3 linked regions of the Alligator mississippiensis genome follow. The main gene of each other region encodes a partner of the protein of the gene in region 2 in a complex. Links are inferred from orthologs where the notes say so. Each region holds a gene or a part of one and is shown on either strand. Other genes may lie near its edges.

What was found.
Region 1: the proteins of CIC (region 2) and YWHAQ are in contact, whole or in part, in a crystal structure (PDB 6KZG), measured with the Homo sapiens proteins. The link is inferred for Alligator mississippiensis from reciprocal best matches to the Homo sapiens genes CIC and YWHAQ. Residues at the interface, in NP_001291744.1 of Homo sapiens: Arg1207, Ser1208, Met1209, Ser1210, Glu1211, Thr1212, Gly1213, Thr1214; in NP_006817.1 of Homo sapiens: Lys49, Arg56, Lys120, Arg127, Tyr128, Gly169, Leu172, Asn173, Val176, Tyr179, Glu180, Leu216, Ile217, Leu220, Asp223, Asn224, Leu227, Trp228.
Region 3: the proteins of CIC (region 2) and ATXN1 are in contact, whole or in part, in an NMR structure (PDB 2M41), measured with the Homo sapiens proteins. The link is inferred for Alligator mississippiensis from reciprocal best matches to the Homo sapiens genes CIC and ATXN1. Residues at the interface, in NP_001291744.1 of Homo sapiens: Val943, Phe944, Pro945, Trp946, His947, Ser948, Leu949, Val950, Pro951, Phe952, Leu953, Ala954, Ser956, Gln957; in NP_000323.2 of Homo sapiens: Pro572, Tyr573, Phe574, Ser578, Ile579, Ile580, Gln581, Leu582, Ala583, Leu587, Val590, Leu593, Phe598, Ser601, Ala602, Leu608, Asp611, Ser613, Phe631, Val633, Ala638, Gln639, Val640, Val642, Tyr648, Pro649, Phe650, Phe651, Trp657, Ile683.

What each region holds. Positions count from the first base shown.
Region 1 is NC_081824.1:31,109,940-31,117,408, forward strand, and holds the start of YWHAQ (14-3-3 protein theta), read left to right. Parts: upstream 1-4,388; 5' UTR 4,389-4,501; intron 4,502-4,804; 5' UTR 4,805-4,881; coding exon 4,882-5,175; intron 5,176-7,469. UniProt on the Homo sapiens protein: Adapter protein implicated in the regulation of a large spectrum of both general and specialized signaling pathways. Binds to a large number of partners, usually by recognition of a phosphoserine or phosphothreonine motif.
Region 2 is NC_081838.1:30,783,369-30,790,381, reverse strand, and holds the start of CIC (protein capicua homolog), read right to left. Parts: upstream 3,046-7,013; 5' UTR 2,964-3,045; intron 2,423-2,963; exon of another isoform or gene 2,322-2,422; intron 2,152-2,321; exon of another isoform or gene 2,079-2,151; intron 1,677-2,078; 5' UTR 1,642-1,676; coding exon 1-1,641. Other genes in the region: ETS domain-containing transcription factor ERF, read left to right, coding at 6,311-6,392. UniProt on the Homo sapiens protein: Transcriptional repressor which plays a role in development of the central nervous system (CNS). In concert with ATXN1 and ATXN1L, involved in brain development.
Region 3 is NC_081826.1:129,980,135-129,987,957, reverse strand, and holds the start of ATXN1 (ataxin-1), read left to right. Parts: upstream 1-4,784; 5' UTR 4,785-5,086; intron 5,087-5,929; exon of another isoform or gene 5,930-7,404; intron 7,405-7,823. UniProt on the Homo sapiens protein: Chromatin-binding factor that repress Notch signaling in the absence of Notch intracellular domain by acting as a CBF1 corepressor. Binds to the HEY promoter and might assist, along with NCOR2, RBPJ-mediated repression. Binds RNA in vitro.

The sequences.
Region 1 (7,469 bases), on a different chromosome or scaffold from region 2:
AGCTCACTCTGCCATTACCCCCAGTCTCTTTGCAGAACCTCTGATGACCTGTCACAAACCCTAGGGTTCTGCAGAGCACAGACTGAAAACCATTGCCCTTGGGGACTAGACAATCTCCCTAGCTTTTCTTTTAGGTGATTTATATACTGCCCTCTGATAGAGTTCATATGGAATTCTAGGCAAGTGGCATAAACCAGAACTGTAATAGCACATTTTCTGTGGCTTCAATGGGAGACATCTGGAATGCAATTTGCAGAAGTGCTAAGCCTCACAGCTGTGAGTGAAGTCAGCAGAAGCTGGATAGTGAACAAAAATGGTGCTACAAAACACTGGAATCCTCAAATTTGGCACCCAATCATGTTGACACTTTTTACTTTTCTGGTGGCTTCTAGCCTGAAACATTATTTGGTTAAAAATAATTCTTATCATACTTCACAAGGGCATGGTGAAGATACATTTAGTACTGTCTGTGAGAACCAAGATACTCTGATGCAGCATCTTTGAAAAGCTTGTAAGGAAATTTACAAATCTGTTTTCAGTGAAGATTTTGGATGGTGCACAGTAAACAGTGCAGAAAACTGCATGTTGTGCCATAAGGTTAAAAAGAAATACTGAATTTTTATTCCTGTTCCTATTCTTGAATTCCATCTAGAAATTTCCTGGGTCATCAGATCCAGTCCCTGGCTTCCACAAGCAACCACATCACACAATCCCTTTCATAAGTGCCATCTTAAAAACAGTTAGGATTTTTTTGCCCCAGTACTCCTATTAGGCTATTCCAAAACTTCACTGTTCTGTTCAGAAACCTGATTTCCAGCCTAAATTGATTAATGACCACTTCATATCAGTTTGTCCTTGTGCCCTGCTGTCCTGTAGTTTAAGTAGTTCTTTTCTGTCCCTGGTGTTTGCTTTCCTGATGTGTTCAGAACAATCATTTCCCTGCTAGGCCTTTGTTTTGCTAGGATAAACAAGCTAAGTACTCGTTAGTTTCCTTTTGTGAAGGCAACACATTCAGTGAGGGCTATTCCTCCTGTGCACCATGGGTAGAAATAGAGAGAGTATGTGCTCATCATGTTGGTAAAACTGTCTTGGAATTCAGACACACAAGGAGACTGAATTACTCCAAATGGGCCATGTTAAGACTTGGGCCTAATTTCAAGTAGCTAATCTTCAATCTTAGCCCAAATACTAGATCAAGAATATCACATGATGAACAATACAACATTTGGGAACTTCAAAACCTCTCTAGTGAAGAATTCCGTCAGTTTATGCAGCAACTTTGCAAAGCACTAACTAGGGTAATTAGTCCCTGGGCCTGCAAGCATGTATTTGCACCACCCTTGGTGTAGATTAGAAGCCTTCCTTTATTTTGAATAAGATGATAAAGCATAACTACATTGTCTCCTTACCTCTCCATCTTAGGATCATGCTATACCAATGCCTGTCTAGAATCAACTATAAGAAGGTAAAGTGGATTTGCATCTTATAGACTAACCAAAGAAAAATATGTCCATATAGATATAGCTCTTTGGATAGTCTATAAGGATGTGTTCAGAAGTTGCTTTTTTACCATTTAAAGAGCTTTATTGTTGTGACTTAACAGCAGTGCATGACTTTACAGCACTTTAAAAATGGGTAGAGCCCTTTAAATTAACCCTTGTTAAATGAGATAGTAAATTTGAAGCACAGTATTTTACAGCACTTTAGCAACCTACAGCACTTTAAATAACTTCTGTACTCTGGTCAACTTTCTGACTAATGGAGAAGCCCCAGGAAGCTCAGAGCCCCACCTCCCCAACACTACACTTCTGTCATATTTAAAGGTGCTGTAACTTTTTAGTCCTATAAAAAGTGCTTTAAATTAAAACCTATATGGAGCACTTCTATACACACCCTAAGGTGCAAATTTAGCCTGCCTTCTACTTGACTTCAGGATAACATAGATAACTGTCTCTAGAACCAACTATGCCAAAGCAGGTCCATCAGGGACACCCAAGTTGTATTTTATAACATATATGCAAGACTGGGGGCATCAGCTGCCATAATTAAATTCTGGATGGATGATACTTTATTACTCTTGATTTAAGTGTATGAGCCTGAAATGCCAGTCTTTATCTACTGATCCTGGCAACCTCTTGAATATTAATTCCAGGTGAAACCCATAGAATAAAGATTTTGATTCTTACTCAAGCCAAATGTAGGACTTCTTTCTGCCCTGTCTTCCCTAGCCCATTACCAATGGGATCAAAGAAACCTAAATCAGTACAACCAGGCACTCTGTCACCCAGTCTCTTTATCCCAAGTGCACAGTAAATGTTGCTTTATCTTCTTGGCCATCCTAGAATGGCCCCTGAAGAAATTCAGCTGAGAAAGTTAAAAGCTCTTCTGGCCTAGTAATTCCTGTCTCCTAGTCCACAGATGGAAAATAACCCTTCCAGTTCCTGTCATTAGGTAATGAAATGGAAGAATTTTTCCCATCCCTTTTCCAGCCTTTCGTAATCTTGACCTGCAGGAAACCTCTCTCACTCCAGACTCAGTGAACAGGGCCAAACTCCATCCATCCTGACAATCTCACCCTCCCCACAAGGTTGTGTTTTAACTCATAGCATCATCCCTGTACTACTTGAAATGGGATGACTGGTGACACAGCCTGGCACTTAGAACAGTCTGCTTGTCTCCATTTACTGTGTGGGTCTCTTCCCTTGGTCAAGGGAGAAGGATAAACCTATCCACATAAGTCTCATCCTTCTTAAAACACCTGAAAGACCTAAACAGCTCCACTCAGTCTTGCCCATAGCCGCCACATCCCAGAGTGGGGCCAGGATCTAAAGAGGGTGAGGTTCCTTACTGCTATGTGGAATCTGCCAGTGGGCAGGCTAGGCTTCAGAGAGACCTAGACAAATTGGAGTATTGGACTAAAATAAATTTCACAAAGTCCAATAAGGACAAGTGCTAAGTCCTGCATTTAGGATGGAAAAATCCCATGCACTGGTACAGGCTGAAGGCTGACTGGGTGGGCAGCAGCTCTGCAGAAAGGACCTGGGGGTTACAATGAACAATGAGCTGAATACGAGCCAGCCGTGTGCCCTTGTTGCCAAGAAAGCTAACGGCATAGTCAGCTGCATTAGTAGGTGTGCTGCCATTAGGTCAAGGGAAATGATTATTCCCCTCTATTCAGCACTGGTGAGGCCACATCTGGACTACTGTGTTCAGTTTTGGGCCTCCCACTACAGAAAGGATGTGGACAAATTGGAGTCCAGTGGGAGGCAAGAAAAATGGTTCAGGGGCTGGGGCACGACTTCTGAGGAGAGGCTGAGGGAACTGGGATTATCTAGTCTGCGGAAGATTTAATGGTTTATAAATAGGGGGCGGATTTAATAGCAGCCTTCAACTACCTGAAGGAAAGTTTCCAAAGGGGATAGAGCTGGACTGCTCTCAGTGGTGGTAGATTGCAGAACAAGGAGCAACGGTCTCAAGTTGCAGCAAGGGAAGTTTAGGTTAGATGTTAGGATGAAATTTCTCGGGAGGAGGGTGGTGAAGCACTGGAACAGGTTCACCAGCGAGGTGGTGGAGTCTCCATCCTTGGGGGTTTTGAAAATCCAGCTAAACAAAGGCTTGCCTGGGATGAGGCAGTTGGGGCTGGCCCTGCGCTGAGCAGGGGTTGCACTAGACCAGCCTTTGTCAACCTGGTCCCAGGAATATGTGAAAGGATCAGGAAAAAAAAATTAAAAAATGGATCAAAAAATGGATCCTCCTTCAAAAACGTGGGAAACCGCGGCATTTCCCTGGCAGAGCTGCAGCTGCAAGGGGCTGCTTGGGGGCCCCCTGGCCCACACACTGGGGGACGCGGGTCGGCACTGCCCATCGCTGTTTGCCAATGGGGCCTGGTACAAAAAATGTAGAGAACGGCTGGTCTCTTCCACCCAAATTATGACTCCGTGACCGCTCCTGCCCGTCCTCTCCCGCTGTGCACCCAGCACCCGCCCCGCCGGAGCTGTCCCTCCCTGTGCTGCACCCTGCACCCCCCGCGCATGCGCAGCGCCCAGCCGCAGCACGAGCCGCCCCCGGCCGCGCCCCCGCCAGTCTTATGCCGCGACCAGCGCCGGCTGCCGGGGAGGGCGGGGGGTTGTAGCAGCATCACCATGGCGACAGTGACGTCAGCTCACCCTGGATCTCATTGGAGGAAACCCCGTGGCCCCAGCCGCAGCCCACGGGCCAACCGAGCTTGCGCCCGGCCTGCGCCCGCCCCCGCCGCGGCGCGCTGCACTCCGATTGGCCGGCTGAGCCGCGGGGGGGCGGGGCCCGAGCCGGAGCCGGCCCTCCCATTGGCCGCGCGGGCGCGGGGCTGGCAGCGGGGAGGTGAGGCCGTGCCAACGCCCTTTAGCGCTGGCTCTAGTCTGAGACGGGAGCGGCTCTTTCTCTCCGCCACCGCCCGAGCGCAGCGCAGCGCGGCCCGCCCGCTCCTGGCGCCAGCCGGCCCGGCCCCGCGCAGCCGCTCCAGGTGAGTCCGGCCCGACCCGGCCGTTGGGAGCGGGAGCGCCCCCCCCATCCCATCCCCCCCCCGCGCCGCGCCCTCCATTTTGTGCCGCGCGTGCGGAGTCTCCGGGGCCGCGGGCGCGGGAGCTGCCTCCACGCCGCCATTTCGCGCCGGCGCGGGGTCTTCCCCTCATGTTCCCTCGTGGGGGGGCCGGGCGGCCGAGCCCCCGCCATGCGGACACACGCGGCGGGGCAGGGAGGGGCGGGGGGAAAGGAGGGAGGGGCCCGACTTCCCGCCCGCCCGCCTAACCCGCGCCTCCCCCCGCAGGAGCTGAGGCGCGTTGTCCCGCGGACGGTGTCGTAGCTGAGGCTCCCTCGCCCCTGCCCACCCACCTGCCCGCCACCATGGACAAGACCGACTTGATCCAGAAAGCCAAGCTGGCCGAGCAGGCCGAGCGCTACGACGATATGGCCACCTGCATGAAGTCGGTGACCGAGCAGGGTGCCGAGCTGTCCAACGAGGAACGCAACCTGCTGTCCGTGGCCTACAAGAACGTGGTGGGCGGGCGGCGCTCAGCCTGGAGGGTCATTTCCAGCATCGAGCAGAAGACGGACACCAGCGACAAAAAGATGCAGCTCATCAAGGACTATCGGGAGAAGGTGGAGGCCGAGCTCCGGTCCATCTGCACCACCGTGCTGGTGAGTTTGGGGCGCCGCTTGCTACGGGTTGGGTTGGGGGGAGTGGTCCAGAGGTGGGTGTCATGTACTGGGGGGCCCTGCCTGAACAATGCAGTAAACCTGTCAGACCCAGGGGTGTGAGGAGGGGAGATGAGCTGCATTGCACTCTGACACGTGTGTGTGTGGGGGGGGGGGTTCATGAGAGCCACATGCAAGGCACCGACTGGATCAGGGATGGCAGGGGGATTGGAGCTTAGGTGTGCCTGTGCCTTTGTATTGGTAATCTTCTGGGTGGGTAAAGGAAGACCGGGAAACTATTCTCCTTCCCCTTTTGGTATGGGGTTGATGGTCTGTGAGCACCCGGAAGGCTGGGTGTGGTACCCAAACTGCTGCAGGGTGCTGCACTAGCAGTTACGGAAAAGAGATGGAAGAGTAGAAGACTTAAATGAAGCATGACTGCTCTGTGGGGGGGTCGTGAAGTAAAATATGTGGTATGTGGCACACAGCTTCTTAATTGAAGACATCAATGCAAATCTGCAGAAAACTGGCTGTTGTCACGTGCAGGTATCCTCTTCGCATTGCTTTGTTCCATGGATGCAGTAATAGTGGAATAATGTGGAAGTTGAAAAGGTCTGGAGCCTGAGAGAGGCTGTGGATGAGCGTACAGATGCCAGGAATAGCTGTCTGGCTCCTTGAACAGTGCACTAGACTTTTCTTTTTTGCTGGTGCTAATATGCTGCATTGTGGTAGGGGCTGAATTTGTGTCAGCAGTGCGGAAGGCGCACCGCCCTGTCATATACAATCAATGTAAGTTCTGGCTGCACAAAACTAGATGTGTAATGCAGTTTAGAGTTTGTAGCAGATAACCTTGACCACTTCATTAGCACTAAAATAATAGCGGCTAGTACTGTAGGTATGTTAGGACAGGAAGAGGTGAATAGCAAATTCTTAGAAAAAAAAAAAGAAACAAAAAAGAAAATTACTATTTAATAAATCATTAACACTGCCTAAATAGTGCTAGGAGACCTATATTTAAAGCTAACCATCTCAATAATAATTGAAAATCAAATTAAGTCAGGAGTTCCAGTTCGCTGACAAGGTGCCCCTTTCTAGATTTGTCCTGAAAATATCCATGTGCTTTAGTCTGCGCTTCCTCTTAGACCAATTTTAATTCAGGAAGAAAATTTTAATGCCACAAAGCATTCTTCAGATGCCAAGTTAATAGTTTCATCTTCTGCAATTATAGGCATAGTTAAACTTGTTAAATCTTTACCTTTTTTTTAATAATACCTCAACTCATGTGAAGCATGGGTTTAGACTGATTCTTGTTTCATGTGACAGAATTCCAATCGGAATAGTGTTGTGTTGCCAACATTTGTACTACTAGTGTTCCTCTTGATTTTTATCTTCCTCTCTGTGAACTGGTCTAGCTAGCCATCAGTTTCTTAGGACTTGTGCACACAACCAGTTTTTCAGACTTCTTAAAATGTCCCTCATGCCTGCTTCTGTCAAACTGAATTCTCAAGAGGGGAGGTTACATGCATTTAAACCATTTTCAGTGTTCTAGTTGCTATGTCATATTAACAGAAGACACTCTGCTGCTCTTAGGAGTTCGGGTTGCTCTAGAAGTGAGCAGCAGCGAGCCATTTTAGCCCTTGCAGGCTAAAATTACTCCAGTTTTGGCAACTGGTGATGAGCAATTGGTGTAGCCACACTAATGAAACTCCTAATATGGGGGGGAAGAGGGGAACAATCTTACTTGCCCTGGCTGAGCTTACCCCACTACTGCTGCATTTTTTATTTTTATTTTTTTGTTTCTTGCTGCACTCAGCTGAGGCTTGGCTGGCAGCTGCCTGCTCTCACAGGGCCCCTAAGACTGCAGGAAATAGGGAAGACTGAAACCTATGAAGTGACATGCTTTTCCTGTTCCACAATCAAAGATATGCATCTTCCTGTAGTGGGAGGGGGTGTCTGCTTTCTACTGCATGAACTGAAACTGCTGCTTTCCCTCCCAGCACCATCTGCAGTCCCCCATTCTGTTCCTCTTTCCCTTTCTTCTTGTCTGCCACTACTCTGCTCCATGAGTCAGCAACAGAGAGATTGAAACTGTCATTGTAAAGAACAAATTTTCCAGTGCTTACACATTAAACAGAGCAGCAGCAAAAAGTGCTCTCAAGAGCTGCCCTCTGCTCACCAAAATTTTAATTTGTTTAAAAGTAAACTGTTATCCATAGACTATTACCAGGGTAGGAATTGTAGCTAAATCTCAAATAGTAAAGTATCAGCACAATACATCAAGAAATAACTAAAAGAGT
Region 2 (7,013 bases):
TGAGGGCGCGGGCGAGAAGGGCGACTGGTTGGAGCCGGGCGAGAAGGAAGGGGTGCCTGAGCGTGAACTGCCCAGCGACACCAGCATAACAGCTGCCTCGCACTCGTCCAGCTCGAAGCGCGACAGGTCAGTGGGTGCCAGGCGGGGCCGTGAGTCGCCCCGTGCGCTGCTGGCCTCACTGTCCCGCGACGTGTCATCCCAGTCGAACTCAGCGCTGCCCTCGCGCAGGCCACTGCCTCGCCCACTGCCTTCCAGCCCCTCCAGCTCCTTGGTGCGCATGGAGAGGTGGCGCGAGCAGTATCCACGTCGCTGCGACTCCTTCATGCAGCCCTCGCGCGAGCACAGGCGCCGCCACTGCTTCCCATTGAACTTCTTACGGATGCCGTTGGGTGTGCATACCACATCACCCTTCTTGTATTTCTGCTGCGCCGCAGTCAATGGCGTGCGGCGCCCTGGGCCCGGCCCCGGTGGCCCTGGTGCGGCACCCTTCTCCCCGGATAGCCCGCTGCTGCTGCGGCTGCCGCCTGCCTCAGCACCGCTGGGTGGCGACGGTGCCTCAGGCAGGCGGGGCAGCCCCGGTGACTTGGGGGGCGAGAGCGGGCGCAGGATGGGGGCCGGCGGCTCGCCTGCACCCGCGCTGATCTTGGAGACCTCGGCGTCCTCAGGCTGCTTGGCCTCAGGACCGGGTGCCTCATCTTCCACCTCACCTGCCGGCTTCTCAGGCTCAGCACGGGCCCAGGGTGGGCGCAGCAGGCGCAGGCCAGAGCGCGGGACCCAGGCTGAGTCGCGGCGCGGGCTGGGGCTGGGGCCAGGTGACAACCCGAACCGCACCTTGTAGGAGGCTGGCTTGATGCTCACCTCCACCACAGTGCCCTCGCGGTAGGCCGTCTCACCTGGGTCCACACAAGCGCACACGGGCGTGCCCACGACCACAGCGCCTGGTGGGGGCGTGGCGTCCAGGACCACATCTGGGGCCCCGGCACTCAGTGCCCCCTCATAGTAGGTCACAGCCCGGTCACCGCCAAACTGTACACCCAGGTCCTGCCCGCGTCGGATCTGCTTGACCACGGCGGGCTGGAAGAGCCCATCGCGCCGGGCCAACACCCGCTGGGAGCGCAGCTGGTGCAGGTCATAGGGTGCGGGTTGAGGCGTTGGGCCCCAGGGCTGTGCCACCGGCCCTGCTTTCGCCTCCTCATCAGCCGAGTGCTCGCTGGCTGTGTCCGTGCTGGATGAGGGGCACCGGCCCCCAGGCTCATCCTCCGGGGGGGCAGCTGAGCCCTCACTGCCACTCCAGTCCTCACCAGGCCCCACCGCTTTGCGCCGTGGCGTGCGGGCCTTGAAGGCAGCTGTCTTGCGGTTGGGGGAGGGCTCCCCGTCGGGCCCTGGCGCCCCCTCTGCCTCGGGGGCCTCTACAGGTGGGCCCAGGGTGGGCTCCATGGTGCAGCGGGCTCCGGGGAAGACAGGTGGCTGGTCAGGAGCGTCCTCGCTGCCCCCGCCCTCCTCTTCCTCCTCCAGCCTCGGGCCCCCCTCAGCCGGGCGGCGCCGCTGGGCCTTAGCTCGGGTGGAGGGGGGAGAGTGGCTGCCACTGCCTGTGCTGGACGCGGGTGAGGAGCTGGCAGCCTTCCTCGCCGCGGGTTTCATCTTCCTCTCACCAGGCCAGGCAGAGACTCAGGGACCTGCGGGGAGCAGGGGTCAGATTTCCAGGCACCCCTGCTGTCCTGCCAGTGCCCCGCACTCCCAACCTGTAGCCCCTGTCCCCTCAAGGCCCACCCCCAGCCCAGCCCAGCCCAGCCCCTGCACTGCCCTGGCCCCTGTTCTCCAGCCCAGCCCCAAAGCCACCCACAGCCAAGGGGGCCACGTCCCCAAGGACTGGCCCCCAGCCCACCCTACCCCAACACCCCGGGGCTGACACAGCAATGCCCCCCATCCCATAATACACCCCACTTCCAGGCATCACCCACCCTCCACCGCACACAATCGTGGTAGGGCCCAAGGCCTGCTACACCCCCAGAACTTCGCTTGGCACCAGCGTGCCCCCGCCCCCTGCTTTGGGGTGGTTGGTACGGCCCAGCTCTCACCCCATATCTGGGAGGGTAGACTCTCCTGACCCACCAACTTTGGGAGACAAGACCTCTCTATTCACCCCCGCCCTGGAAGCAGTGGCACCTCCCGGCACGCCCATTGTGGGGGTGATGGTAGCTCCCACTCCCCACTCTTGGCGGGGTGACAAGGACTTCCCCCCACCAACCTTTCCGAGCGAAATGGTACAGCCGACCCCCCAGCTGTGGCACAACCCAGCCCTGGGGCCGCCCCCCCGTTACCTGCCCCCCCGGCACAGGGGATGGTGCGGCCCGGCCCCCCCTGCCCGCGGGATGGTGCGGCCCAGCCCCACTCGGCCGCCCCGAGCCCCTTTTACTCCAGCAGACAAAATGGTGAATGAATCCGGACCAGCTGGACACACTGGCCAATGGGAGCCCACAACCACCTGACGGGCGGCGGTGCCGCCCAATAGAAGCCGGGCCTGGCCCGTGTAAGCCCCGCCTCCCACAACAGACAGCCGCGCAGGCCAATGGGCCCCGGGGACGGGGCGGGCGCTGCGCGGGGCCGGTGCTCCCAGCTCCGATAGACGCTTACAGTAGCCAATGAGGGCGTGGGGAGCGCGGTGCCGGGGAGGTGCCGAGCTTACAGTAGCGAATGGCGGCGCAGCTGGGGCGGGGCCCGGCGGGGCCCGGCCTTGTTTACCTGGCTCTGCGCGAGGCGGAAGCGCGCGGCCCTCGCGGGGGCTGCTGGGAAGCGAAGTCCGCTCAAGGGGGCTCCCGGCAGGCCCCGCGCGCAAAGCCTCACGGGATTTGTAGTCGTCCCCCCCCACGGCCGGGGCAGAAACTCTACGGAGAAGTCGCTCACCCCCGCGGAGCCCTCATTTGCATGCGATTTGCATCTCATTAGCATATGCATGAGCTCACCCCCCCGGCAGCCGCGGCCGGTCCCGCGTCGGCCCCTCGCGCTTCCCCTCAGCAACAGCGGAGCCGCCGCGGCCAATCAGCACCCGGCCCCGCCCCCCCGGGCGCGTGCCCCACGTGGGGGCCCTGGGCGTGGCCCGCTGCGGCCAATGGGACCCCGGGGCGGCCGAGGGATGAGGTCACCGCTGCGCGCGCCCATTGGCCGGAGCAGCCGGCCAATCAGGGCGGGACCGGAACGGGGTGAGCGGAGGGGGGAGCGGGGGGACACGCTGGAGCCGCTCGCCACGCCCCCTGCCCTGGCCCCACCTCTGCCTTGGCCCCGCCCCCTGTCCCCATGCTGTGAGCTTCCTCCAGCAGTGCCCTGTGCTGGCTTTAATGCTGTGAGCTTCCCCCAGCCCTGCCTTGAGCTGTCCCCATGCTGTGAGCTCCCCCAAGGCTGTGAGCTTCCCCCAGCCCTGCCCTGAGCTGTCCCCATGCTGTGACCTTTCTCCAGAAGTGCTGTGAGCTCCCTCAAGGCTGTGAGCTCCCCAATGCTGTGAGCTTCCCCCAGCTCTGTACCTGGGGACCGCCCCCACACATGCCCTGAGTTTGCCTGCAGCAGTGTCTGGACCCCAGGCTGGTGGGCAGCCTGCTGTGAGGACGTGACCCTGGCCTGCTCCTCACCAGGCCCAGGCCCCGGGCCCCTTCCTGCCTCGGAGCCTGCCCTGACCTGCCCTGTGCAGTGCCCATGCCTGCGCCCGTGCCCACGGCTTGGCTGGTGCGAGAAGGCAGAGCCAAGGCGGGACCTGTGGAGATTTTGCCGCTGATTTAGCACTGGTGGCTAATTTTGGGCAGGTCCAGGCCTCCCCTCCCACCTCCAAGTGGCTGTAGGGGGGTCCTGGACACCTGGTTCTCTCCTCCCTGGCAGGGCAGTGGGGTGAGGATACCTGGGTCCTCTCTGCTCCCTGGGAGGATGAGAGCAGGGGTGCTGGGAGCCCAGATGCCTGCGTTCTCTAGGGCCCAGAGAGTGAGAGCAGGGGGTTTGGGAGCTGAGATGCTTGGGCTCTCGGGGGGGGGGGGGCCTGGGTTCTCTCCAGCTCTGGGAGAGGAATGAGGGTGGGGCCCAGACGTTGTGGCTCCAGCCCCCCCCCTGCCCCCCCCCGTTTCTCCTTGTGGAGCCAGGACCCTGCAGCTTCCCTGTGGCTTTGCCCCCAGCGCTGTAAGCTTCCCCGCAGTGGTGCCCTGCTGAGGCCAGGGCCCCCAGGGCCTGGGGACCCAGGGGTGGGGGTCGCTAATGCATCCTACCAGCCGCAAACTTCCCGCCGATAATTATAGCCGATCACGCTGCATTATTTATAAGGCTCCTATTTATAGCAGGGCCAGAACCGGCGGCACCAGCCCTGCCCCCCCACCCCCGGGCACAGGGAAGGGGGGGGCACCCCGGCGGGGGGGGTGATGTCACCCCTTCACTCACCCCCCTTTCCCCCCAGGTAGGATGTTCGGTCAGGACTGGTCCCCAGGGAGCTGGCATGTCGGCACGGCCTGGAGGCCACCAAGTGAGAGCCATGGGCATGAGGGCAGGGGGGTGTTGCAAGGGGCCATGTGGGCATGCAAGGCCAGGACTGCACCTGGATCAGGGACCCAGGCATCTGGCTCCTAGCCCCCCCCCCCCCCCCCAAACCTGGAGAGAACCCAGACATCCAAGCCCCTGGCACCCCTTGGTTTGCTCGGCCTGCTCTTGCATCAGACGGGTGCATGTATGCACACACGCATGCGAGGAGCATTAGTAGTTTGTGGCTAAATGAAGCATCGTAAACAAACACCTAATTACTACCCCAGGGCCCAGAGTCGGGGGGGGGGGGGGGGGGCGGGGGGGATCCCTGGGGGCACAATGCACAGCATGGCAGAGAGGGGCCCAGCCCCACACATGCGCATGCATGTGCAGGAGATACAGATCTGAAGATGTGTGGGGTGCCGTGCTGTGCACATGCACATGTACCCAAGTGCGTGCAAGTGGCCGCACACACGGGGGAGATGTGTACCATACTGTGCCCTCCAGGGCACATGCAGGGCCTAGACACTGTCCCAGGGATGTGCAAAGAGCCGCAGGCACGGGGTTGCAGGTGTGACACGTGCTCGCAGCACGTGCAGTGGATGGAGAGACCGACCTGGGTCTGGCAACATGCACATAGTGCCCAGAACAGGCAAATACATGTGAAGACCCAGGTGTCTAACATGCATGTGTGCACGCGCACACAGACGCATGCACAGAACCCAGGTGTCTGGGGCAGACAGACACATGCACACGGGCAACCCATGTGTTTAGGGCATATGCACAGAACCCAGGTATCTGGGCACAGATGCACACAAAAGCATTTCATAGGACTCAGGTATCTGGGGCACACCAGCGCACACTTACATGCACACACACATATGCAGAATCCAGGCACCCAGGGCACATGTCCATATAGGACCCAGGAATCCAGGACATGCATGAACACGCGAGCCAGGCATGGAGAATGCTCGCACGCGAGTATTAGGGATGCGCTTGTGTGCTTGCACACGCAGAACCCAGGCACCTAGGATGCCCCCCTGCAAATCTCCAAGCATGGGGCTGTGTCTGTGCGCGTGCATTTGTGTTGGCACAACCATTCTGGGCACACGGGTGCCCTTGCACATAGGCCATGGCAGCTCCACACATGAAGACACGGGCGTTTTGGTGCGACACAATCACATGCATGGGGACATGGCACCAGGGTGGGGTCACAGAACGCTCACACGTTGCCTGCCCCTCATACTCGGCATGTTGCACACACGTGCCCTGGCCCCTTGAGCCGCCCCGGCCCATAAGGCCTCACACCTGTGACACAGGCCTCACACGCGTGCCTTTGCAGGCGTGGCTGTGCATGCTCTCCAGAGCCCACCCCGCCGGCCACCATCCTGGGCCTGGCTGAGGGCGGGAACCCCCGACCTGCTCCCCGCCCCACTCCACAGGCCTCTGCACCGCCCCAGCCCCAGCCTGGACCTGCCGCATTCCTGCGGCCTGCCCGCGCCTGCCCGCCCGCCCCGAGGCGCCTGCAGGGTGCCCCCGCCGGTGCCCCTCGCTCCCGACCCTACGTCCTGGTACCCCCCACTCCCGACCTGCAACCCCCACTCGCCCCGCCCTGGGCCCCTCACTCTCGACCCACCCCCCCAGCGCAGCGCCCCCTGCCGGCTGCCCCTCGCTTCCCGCGCGGGCCCTTTAAGCAGCCCTCCCCCCACAGCGCGGGCGGGGCCGGGGCGGGGCGGAGGCGGGGCCGCGGGGGGCGGGCCCAGTGTCCATGGCGACGCGGCGGTGACGTGTGCGGGGGGGCGTGGGCGGCCCGGTGCATATGAGCGCGGGGCGGGGGGGTGGGGGGGGCCGAGCCCGCGGCGGCGGCAGCGCAGGAGCCATGAAGACCCCTGCGGACGCAGGTGCGGACTGCGGGGGGGGGGCACCTAGGGGGGGCGGAAGTTTTTTTGGGGGAGGAGGGAAGACTTGTTGCTTTCCCCCAAGTCCTTGCGGGGGGGGGCTGCCACGTTGCCGGGGGGAGCTGCTCTCTGCCCCCTCTGTATTGGGGGGGTCGTGGGGGGGGTACCTGAGAGTCCAAGAAGAACTTGTTGTTCCCGACCCACGCGGCACCTTTAAGGGGGGGGGCTCCGCCCCCCCCCCACGGGGCCACGTGACACGCGGGGGGCCGGGAGGGGGGACCCCCCCGGCGCCAGCGATTGTATGTGGGATGCGGGCGTTTGGGAGTGCCCCGCCCCCTCGGCTCCCCCCCCCACACAGCCCCCCCACCAAACTTTTCCCAACTCCGAGACGGGGCAAGAAAATGGCAGGGGGGGGCACGGCCCGCGGGGGGGCACGCGGGTGCACGCACACAAAGGGGACTCAGGGGCGCACACACTCTTCAGTGCCCCCCTGCACTGTCCCGGGGGTCTCGGCCCCCCATAGACTCGTGTGTCTTTAAGGGGGGGCACGTGCCCCCCCACTCACTTCTGCGTGCCCCCCCCCCCGTTTCCCTGGGGGGGACTCTACCCCCCCAACTTCTGTGT
Region 3 (7,823 bases), on a different chromosome or scaffold from region 2:
TAGGAGACAAAGTCAAACTGAGTTGAAGATAGTGAGGTTTGTGATGGTTCTTAGTTCCTGGTGGGAGTTCATTCTACTGTTTTGAGCTACCCCAGAGAAGGATCTGTCTCCTGCCCAAATGAGTTTTATTCTTATTGCAGGAAATTCCATTTTGCCAGAGGAGGTCTTCATCCTGGTTACTGTGTATGCTTATTTTCTGAAACAAATGACTCCTCCCCTCATAGGGCTTAGTCCTGCATGCCTTGTTTTGTCAAATCTCCCAGTTTAAATCAATAGGACACCTTACCTAACCAAAGGCTAAAAGGATTGGGCCCTGTGCCTCCCTTCTTTGGAAAAGGTCACATTATGTGCCCCACCTCTTCAGTATTAATCAGGTCTCTTGTCTTCAATGGCAAGTTGGATCTGTGCTCTGAGGCAAAGTTCCTGGATGTTGTGGAATCTAAAACCTTTGCTGTAGCTTTTCTAAAAGTAATTTCTGTAATCAAATATAAAAATCCAGTAGATGAAGCAGGCTGTGTTGTTTTATTTATTCTAAGATGTCTGCATGTTTTTGGTTCCTGATCTGCCAAAGGGTTTTGTGCTGACACCATATATTTGTCCTTACTCTGTGCTAGAAGAAGCTGGAAGAGTAGCAATTAATTAAAGTAGAACTAGGTGGAATTTTTTGCCCATATGGAGGCAGTTTGGGTTTGTAGCAACTCCAAAAATTGTGTGTCAAATTTAGGACTGTCAATTAATCACAGTTAACTTAAGTGATTAATGGAAAAACAAATTAATGCATTACTTTTTTCAATCGTGTTAATCGCACACATCATTTTGACCAGTGGAGTGGACCAGCGCCAGACCAGCTGGGACCCATGTGCACAGCCCTGTCCCCAGCCCACTCCAAACCTGCTCCAGACACACCTGCCCACGCTGAGCAGTGGCAGCAGTAGCAGTGGCCAGGCAGAAGCTGCTAGCTGGCATGGAAGAAAATGCCCCTCCTAATCACTGCTGGGGCCTTCTTGCTGCAGCCACCCAGAGCCCACACCTGGGCTGCCCTGCAGCTTCTCTCTGCTGCCATCACTGCCACCTCCGGGCTGCCCAGTGGTGGCAATGCAGAGAAGCCACAGGGCAACCCAGGTGTGGGCTTCAGGCAGCTGCAGCAAGATGGGCTCAGCAGCAGTGACGGTAAGGGGCCTCTTTTCCTCCTTGCTGAGCAGCAGCTTCTGCCTGGCTGTTGCTGCTGCTCAATGTGGGCAGGTGAATCTGGAGCAGGCATGAGGCAGGCCAGGGATGGGGCTGTTTGCATAGGTTCTGGCTGGTCCACTCCAGCTGGGGAGAGTCTGTAGCAGGCACGGTCTGGGCCAGGGTCGAGGCTGGGGCTGTGTGCTGTTGGTGGTGGCACAGAGGAACCACCCGCAGGGTACGCAGGCTCGGGTGGTGAGGAGGTACTGGCTGTTGTTTAACTGTGCGATTAATTGCGACTATTTTTTTTAATCTTGCAATTAATTGCTATGATTTTTTAAAATCTTTTGTCAGCCCTAGTCAAATTGTTTGTAAACCCAGGAACTCCATGCTGCATCTGTTTATATTCAGTTTTACATTTTAAAGGGGTTCTTCTTAACTGTGAGGTCTAGAACTATAGATAAAGCTTACATTTTGAAAAACATTATTCCATGGCAAAGTATGGCAAACTTCACAGCCAGAGAATGGAAGAATGAGCAGTGTTAATCTGTTGCAAAGGGGAAAGTTGTCCAAAGCTTGCTTCAGCATGAATGTGGCTTCTCTTTCTCCGTATGTGCCACACCTGTTGGCAAGGCGAACATCTCCGAAGGAAGAGATTCCTTTCTACTGAGGTAACTCTCTGAAGTACAGAAGTAACAAGGTGACGGGGAGAGAATGCAGTGTGTGTTGAGCTGAACCCAGATTAAGGTGTTGCATCATCACTAGCACTTTTACGTGGTTTTCAGTAATTCACCTTCTCGTCCTTTCTTTGATTACATTAATTAAACTTGCATAAGCTGGGAGAGGATGCTACTGAGGTCTGCTTTGCTGTTGCAGATTGGCTACCCTGTGATGCTGAGTTGCATGTCTCCAAATGCCTAGGCTTGTTTCTGTCCCCAAAGCACTCAGAAAGCAGAGAATGCCATCCTTTTGTGCAGACCTTAACTAAAGGTTTAGACGTTGCAACAATAAAAGAACCTAATTCTTCATAAGCCTATACTAGATTGTTGTTTCCTATAGGTCAAAACCTTGGCAGCTTACAACATTGTTTACATTTGCTCTTTAGTGAGTAATATATTTCTAAGTTATAGAAATGCTTCACTGACACCTGAGGGGCATCTAAACTAAAAAAGTGCCATTTGAGATCCTGCACTGGTGTGAGTGAACTGGTGCAAGTAGTGACAGTACAGAATGGCCACACGAGTTATCCTGTTTGGAGGAAATGCAGTATGTTCGGTCCAAATTAGAACCTCTTTTAAGTGTTGCCAAGGGTTATGAGGCATTGTACATATGCTACAATGTTCAGCACATCTCTCCTTAGAGCAGGTGTCATTATGTCTATAGCATACATAGGGCATTTGTGCGTGTTCCCACTGTGGTTACTTTTGCCTCAGAAGATGCTTGTGCATAATAAAGAACAAGGGTTACTCTGTGCTGTGTCCTCTCACTTGCTAATGCTGTGGCAGTCAAAAACTTCTTCTGGACTCACTGCCAGGCCCTACCAGGACCTAGTAGGTTAGTAGGTAATACAACAAGCATGGCCAGCATTGGGCTTTGGTGCTTTAGGAGGAACAGCACTTGATTTTATGATGTGCTTTCACTTCCCCAGTACCCTCTTCAGTTTCAATTTTGTTCTCCCCTTTTTTTGGCTACTAAGATAATGGTTTGTTCTCTTCTGTGTTGTCTTCTAGGAAACTGGAGCCAGTCCAGAGGTCTCTGAGACAGGACATTTTCTTGGACTCTTTCTTGCCTCCAAGGGTGTCACTCTCCTGTCACCCTGACCTTCTGTAATGGAGCCGCTGAGACCCAAGGTCCTCCTCCAGGGGAACACAGGACAGTAACTAGTGGAAGCTGAACCACAATGGAGAAGTAAGTCATTTTTCCCAAGGCAATAATTGGGAGTGTCTTAGCCTCAGAGCAGGTATAATCAAGGCGGTGACACCTAAACAGACCTGTGCACTGTTGACACAGAGTACTACACTTGCACATACCTGGAATAAATTAGGGCAGCCTGTGTATGACACATGGCAGACTGGGGAGGACTCAGGCAGCACAGTGGCAGATAGGACAGGAAGCAATGCAGCAGATGGGGCAGGCAGCAGAAAAAGCAACAGATCCAGCAGAAGCCCAGGGCAGAAAGCAGAGCAGCAGATAGATCAGAGAAAGGAGATCAGAGTGCCCTTTGGGGAGGTTTTGGGGCTAATCTGTGACACGCTTGCCAAAAAAGACTGGACTCCACTGTATTAGGGTGTCCAGAGGGCCATTAGTATCTATATTTACCTAGTCTGACTAGGCCTTTCTTGAGGTTTAATGAAGGACATGAGTAAAAGTCATCAAAGCCTTGATCAGGGAGCAAGTACCATGGGCAGAAACAAAGTAGACCCTGCTAATAGGATTGGCCCCTGTACAAAGCATGTTAAGCAGGATTTCCTAGGAGAAGAGAGGCAGGCTTTGGCTTCTGCTTCCTTAGGGCATCCCTCTGTCAGGCACCTTCAGGCAGGCACCTATCTCACAGGCCTGGGGGGTGAGGAGTCGGGGGGAGGAATCCCAGCCTAGGTGAGACCAGCTGATCTCCACCATGTCCAGGAGGGATGGTGGCCAGGACAAGGCAGCTTCCCCAAGGCAGCCTCTAGCTAGCCACAGGAATGCTGGCCATCCTCAGAGACCCCTGGGGTTGGGAGTGAGTAGGATGGTCCAGCTCCACAGGACGAGCACCTTGGAGATCAAACCAGATTGCTGGCCAGACACAGGCCCCTTGAGCATGTATATATATTTAAAGAAATTGTCATGTTCCAAGCCAAATCAAGTCCAAATCCGTGAGTCAGTCCAGAACCATAAGTGGCCCTACAACCAGCAAACGTCCTCTACCCATACCAGGAACATCAGATGTTTCCAACATCTTTTGGCAGGCATCCAACTTGGGGATGCCTGAGTTTCACTTGCCCTCAGCCATATGGCTGCAGGAGCAAGCTAGGGAGGAACCTCCCCTTTCCATGAAATGGACTTAAAGCCCAAACACCTTGGCAGGTACTAAACCACACCAGAAGAGCGCTTATCCTCCAAGCGCTCAAGGAAAACTGTCTTCAGGGACTCAGATACATGGTGTTTCTCCTGCCAGGTAAGTATTGACAGGGTTGTATAGAAGCAGGATGTGTGCTGCCGTGGTTCCCCTGCTTTACCTGTGGCAGGGTCGGGGTTAGGTCTCTGTTGAGTCAGGGTTGGGTGTAGACTTCTGCAGAGTTCAGATGAGGGCTGTAGGGATGGTTTGGCTAGGGCTGACAGCGCATCCGGCAGCGGGTCGGACCTGATGACCTCTGGAGGTCTTTTCCAGCCTGACTTCCCTCTGATTTCTACCAGACACCCACAAGGCGCTTCCTTCTCCGTGCATCCCTAACCCAAGGCCAGCGAGCAGAGCTGGCCTGGCAGAGGCCGGAGGAGCCCTGCAAAGGGTTAAGGCCGGTTTGGCTCGGCTCTGCTGTGCGTATGCTGTAATGTGTGGCTCTCTTTGGCCGCCTGCCAAAGTGTTGCCTTGCCTCCACCTCCTCCTCCTCCCTCCCCTCCCCTCCCCTCCTCCCTCCCTGCCTTGTGCATGAAGTCGGATCCTTGAGCTGTTGCAGAGGCAGCCAACTGCTCCATATTTGGCTTCGCTTACACACTGACATACCGGGGAGCGGAGCAGCCTCGTACCGCAGACATCCCTGCATCTACTACGGCGCTGGGGGCAGCCGGGACCCGCGTGTCACTCACTCACTCCCGCCGCGGGGGAAGGAAGGAAGGAAGGAGCCCGGAGGAGCCAGCCCCGCTGCAGCACCCCCACGCCCGGCCCGGCCCGGCTGGGTGCTGCTGCCTCCCCCCGCCCCTCCTCCAGTGACACTTTACAGTAAGTGGTTTTTTATTTCTCCTCTGCTTTTGCCTCCCCCTCCCCCTTCCTCCTTCCCTGCAGCTGGAAAAAAAAAACACGGGGGGAGGGATCTTCTACCCTGTCCCTTCCTTGCTTTTGGGCACAAGGGCTTTGTGATCCCCTGGGAGTGTGTGTGGGGGGGATCATTGCACCCCCCCCCTTGCTGTGCATGCAAGGGTTGGGGGGGAAGGAGAAGGGATCTCTTACGCTGTCCCTCCTGCCCCCTCCCCTGCTCTTGGGCACAAAGGCTTTGTGATCCCCTGGGGGCACGCACTGCACCCCGTCTGCTAGGGGGAGAAGGGGTCCTACCCTGTCCCTCCTGTACCCAGGCTCCTGCCCCCCTCCCCTGCATGCCAGCTTGTGGGCACAAGGGCTTTGTGATCCCCTGCACCCCCCCCCCCCCTTGCTGTGCATGCGCGGGGGGGAATCTCCTACCCTGTCCCTCCTGCACCCGGGGCTCCTGCTCCCTCCCTCCCTCCCTCGCCGCGCAGCCCCTGGGCGAAAGGGCTTTGTGATGCCCTGGGGGCAGTCCCTGCACCCGCTTGCTGTGCTGTGCTGTGCTGTGCCGTGCCAGGCGGGGTGCAGGAGGGCCGGGGCCGGGGGGGGGTGCTCGTGGGGGAGGGGTCTGAGTTGCAAGGCCGGGCCGTAGTAGGGGGGGCGAATGAAGCGAGCGGCGCGGGAGGCGGCCGGCGGCGGCAGCAGCAGTAGCCTTCCCGCTCCGGGCCCGTGCGCAGGCCGGCTGCAGGCACCGGCTGGCGCGGGGCCGGGGTCAGGGCAGGCCTGGCTGCCCCGCTCCACGGCCTGGGGCTGGGCGCGGCGCTCCGGGGCCCTCACAGCGCCCCCCCCGGCCGCCCGGTCCGGTCCGGCCCGGCCGCCTGCCCGGGCCCTTGGGAGCCGGCTGCCCTGCAAACCACCTCCAAAATAACACCCCCCCCTCCAGCCTTGTCAAGTCCAGCTCCCACCAGAAGTGATGAGGCTGATGGGGGGGGAATAATAACCATCGCATTATTATTAGTAGTAGTAGTATTAGTGTTATCATTATTATGACCAGAGTGAGGCCTGTTGGGATGTGAGCGGGGATGGGGAGCAGTCGCTGAAGAGGAAACACGGGAGAGAAAACCTCCCTCTCCTCCCAGCGCATTATATAAGGAGAAGGCTGAGCTATTTTTATTTCTGTTTACCCTACGCAGGGCAATGGGGACTCTTGCAGGCAGCAAGTTTTCGGGGGGGGGGAGCCACTCTTTGGCCCCCCCTGGGTGAGGCTGGACTCCGGATATAATCAGTAAAAAAAAAATGAAAAAATGAAAAAGAGAAGCCTTCTGATGAACGCCTGGGTTAGAAATGCAGTGTAAAAAAACCACTGTCCCTTCCGCCTGCCCTTTATGAGCAAATAAGAAATGCGGGAGGCAGATGACCTTAGTTCTCCAAAGCCTTTTTATATTTGGTGGCATGAAGACATCCGTATGTCGTCATGCAGGTTCTCCTTAAAACGTAAGGATCCCTGCTATCTATTTTATGCAGCAGGGGTAGGCTGCATGTCAGACATGGTCTGGCATAGCCGGTTACTTTGATTATATATTAGGTAAGTCGAGGGCTTTTCATTTCAGTTTCCAACCCAGACCTTTAGCTACTGCAAAATTCAGATAGCATGTTAATGTAGTTATGTTGCTTTGGATGGTGAAGACAGTTCAGTTTTATAACCTGGAAAAAGGATTATGAATGAGGGGGAGAAAATTGAGGGTGAGAGAAAAAAAATATGCCGTAGCTTTTTTTTTTTTTTGGTGAGATGCAGCAAGGTGTCTTCTTAGAACAGCTTACAATTTTGTCTCATTGTCTCCAAACATACATGCATATATAAAAAATAAAAATAAAAAAATGGTCCAATATTTTACAGGCAGCAATTCTTAGAAAAGGCTGGCTTTATTATCGCCGTTTATGTAAGGCAAAGGTTGATAGGTTTTCTTCAACTCTTGCCTGTCTATCTCTCTGTCATCATGTAGATACATGTCAGTGGTGTAGGTTTTCAGTGCACTTACTCTAGCCCTGATCAGTCATGTAATTAGATCAGGCTGCCATGGTAACAGACAGTATTCATCGTCCATTCAGGTGTGTTTGTCTTGTGACTAGGCTACCTCAAGCGGTATATGTACTGTATTTATGTTGTGCAGCCTGCATAGCTGACTGCTCTGTCTTCTTGCAGAATGTTTCAGCATATTGTAATCATTTCCTGACCACTGAGTATGTGAAAGATGCTCCTCGAGTGCTACAGCATCAGGCAGTTTTTACATTTGTGCACGGTATGCAAATATATTGACCTAGTCAGGGAAATTACTCTAGTGTTTATTGTTTGTGAATCAACAAATGTTTGCTACTCCTTCTAAACTTTTTTCCAGGCTTATCTAAATGTTTAGTCCCCAGTCTAATCTTTTTAGAGGGCTAGGTGTTTAACCATGTGAAGGCTGAAATTGTGCATGAAAGATATCACAGGTCTGAGGGCTAACAGCTTAGGCCCCAAACGGCGTGCCTAACTTTACGTGCTCTGACTAGCAGAACGAAAGTGATGGATAACTGGCATCAGCATTATCACTTACCTCAAAGAACGTGTTGTTATAAGCATGTTTGTAATTCTTAGCAAGATTGGGGCCTTCGTGTGTTTTACTTGGTCATTGAATTTCCAATTTCACTTTCTAAAACGTTAGGAGGAATAGCTCTTTTA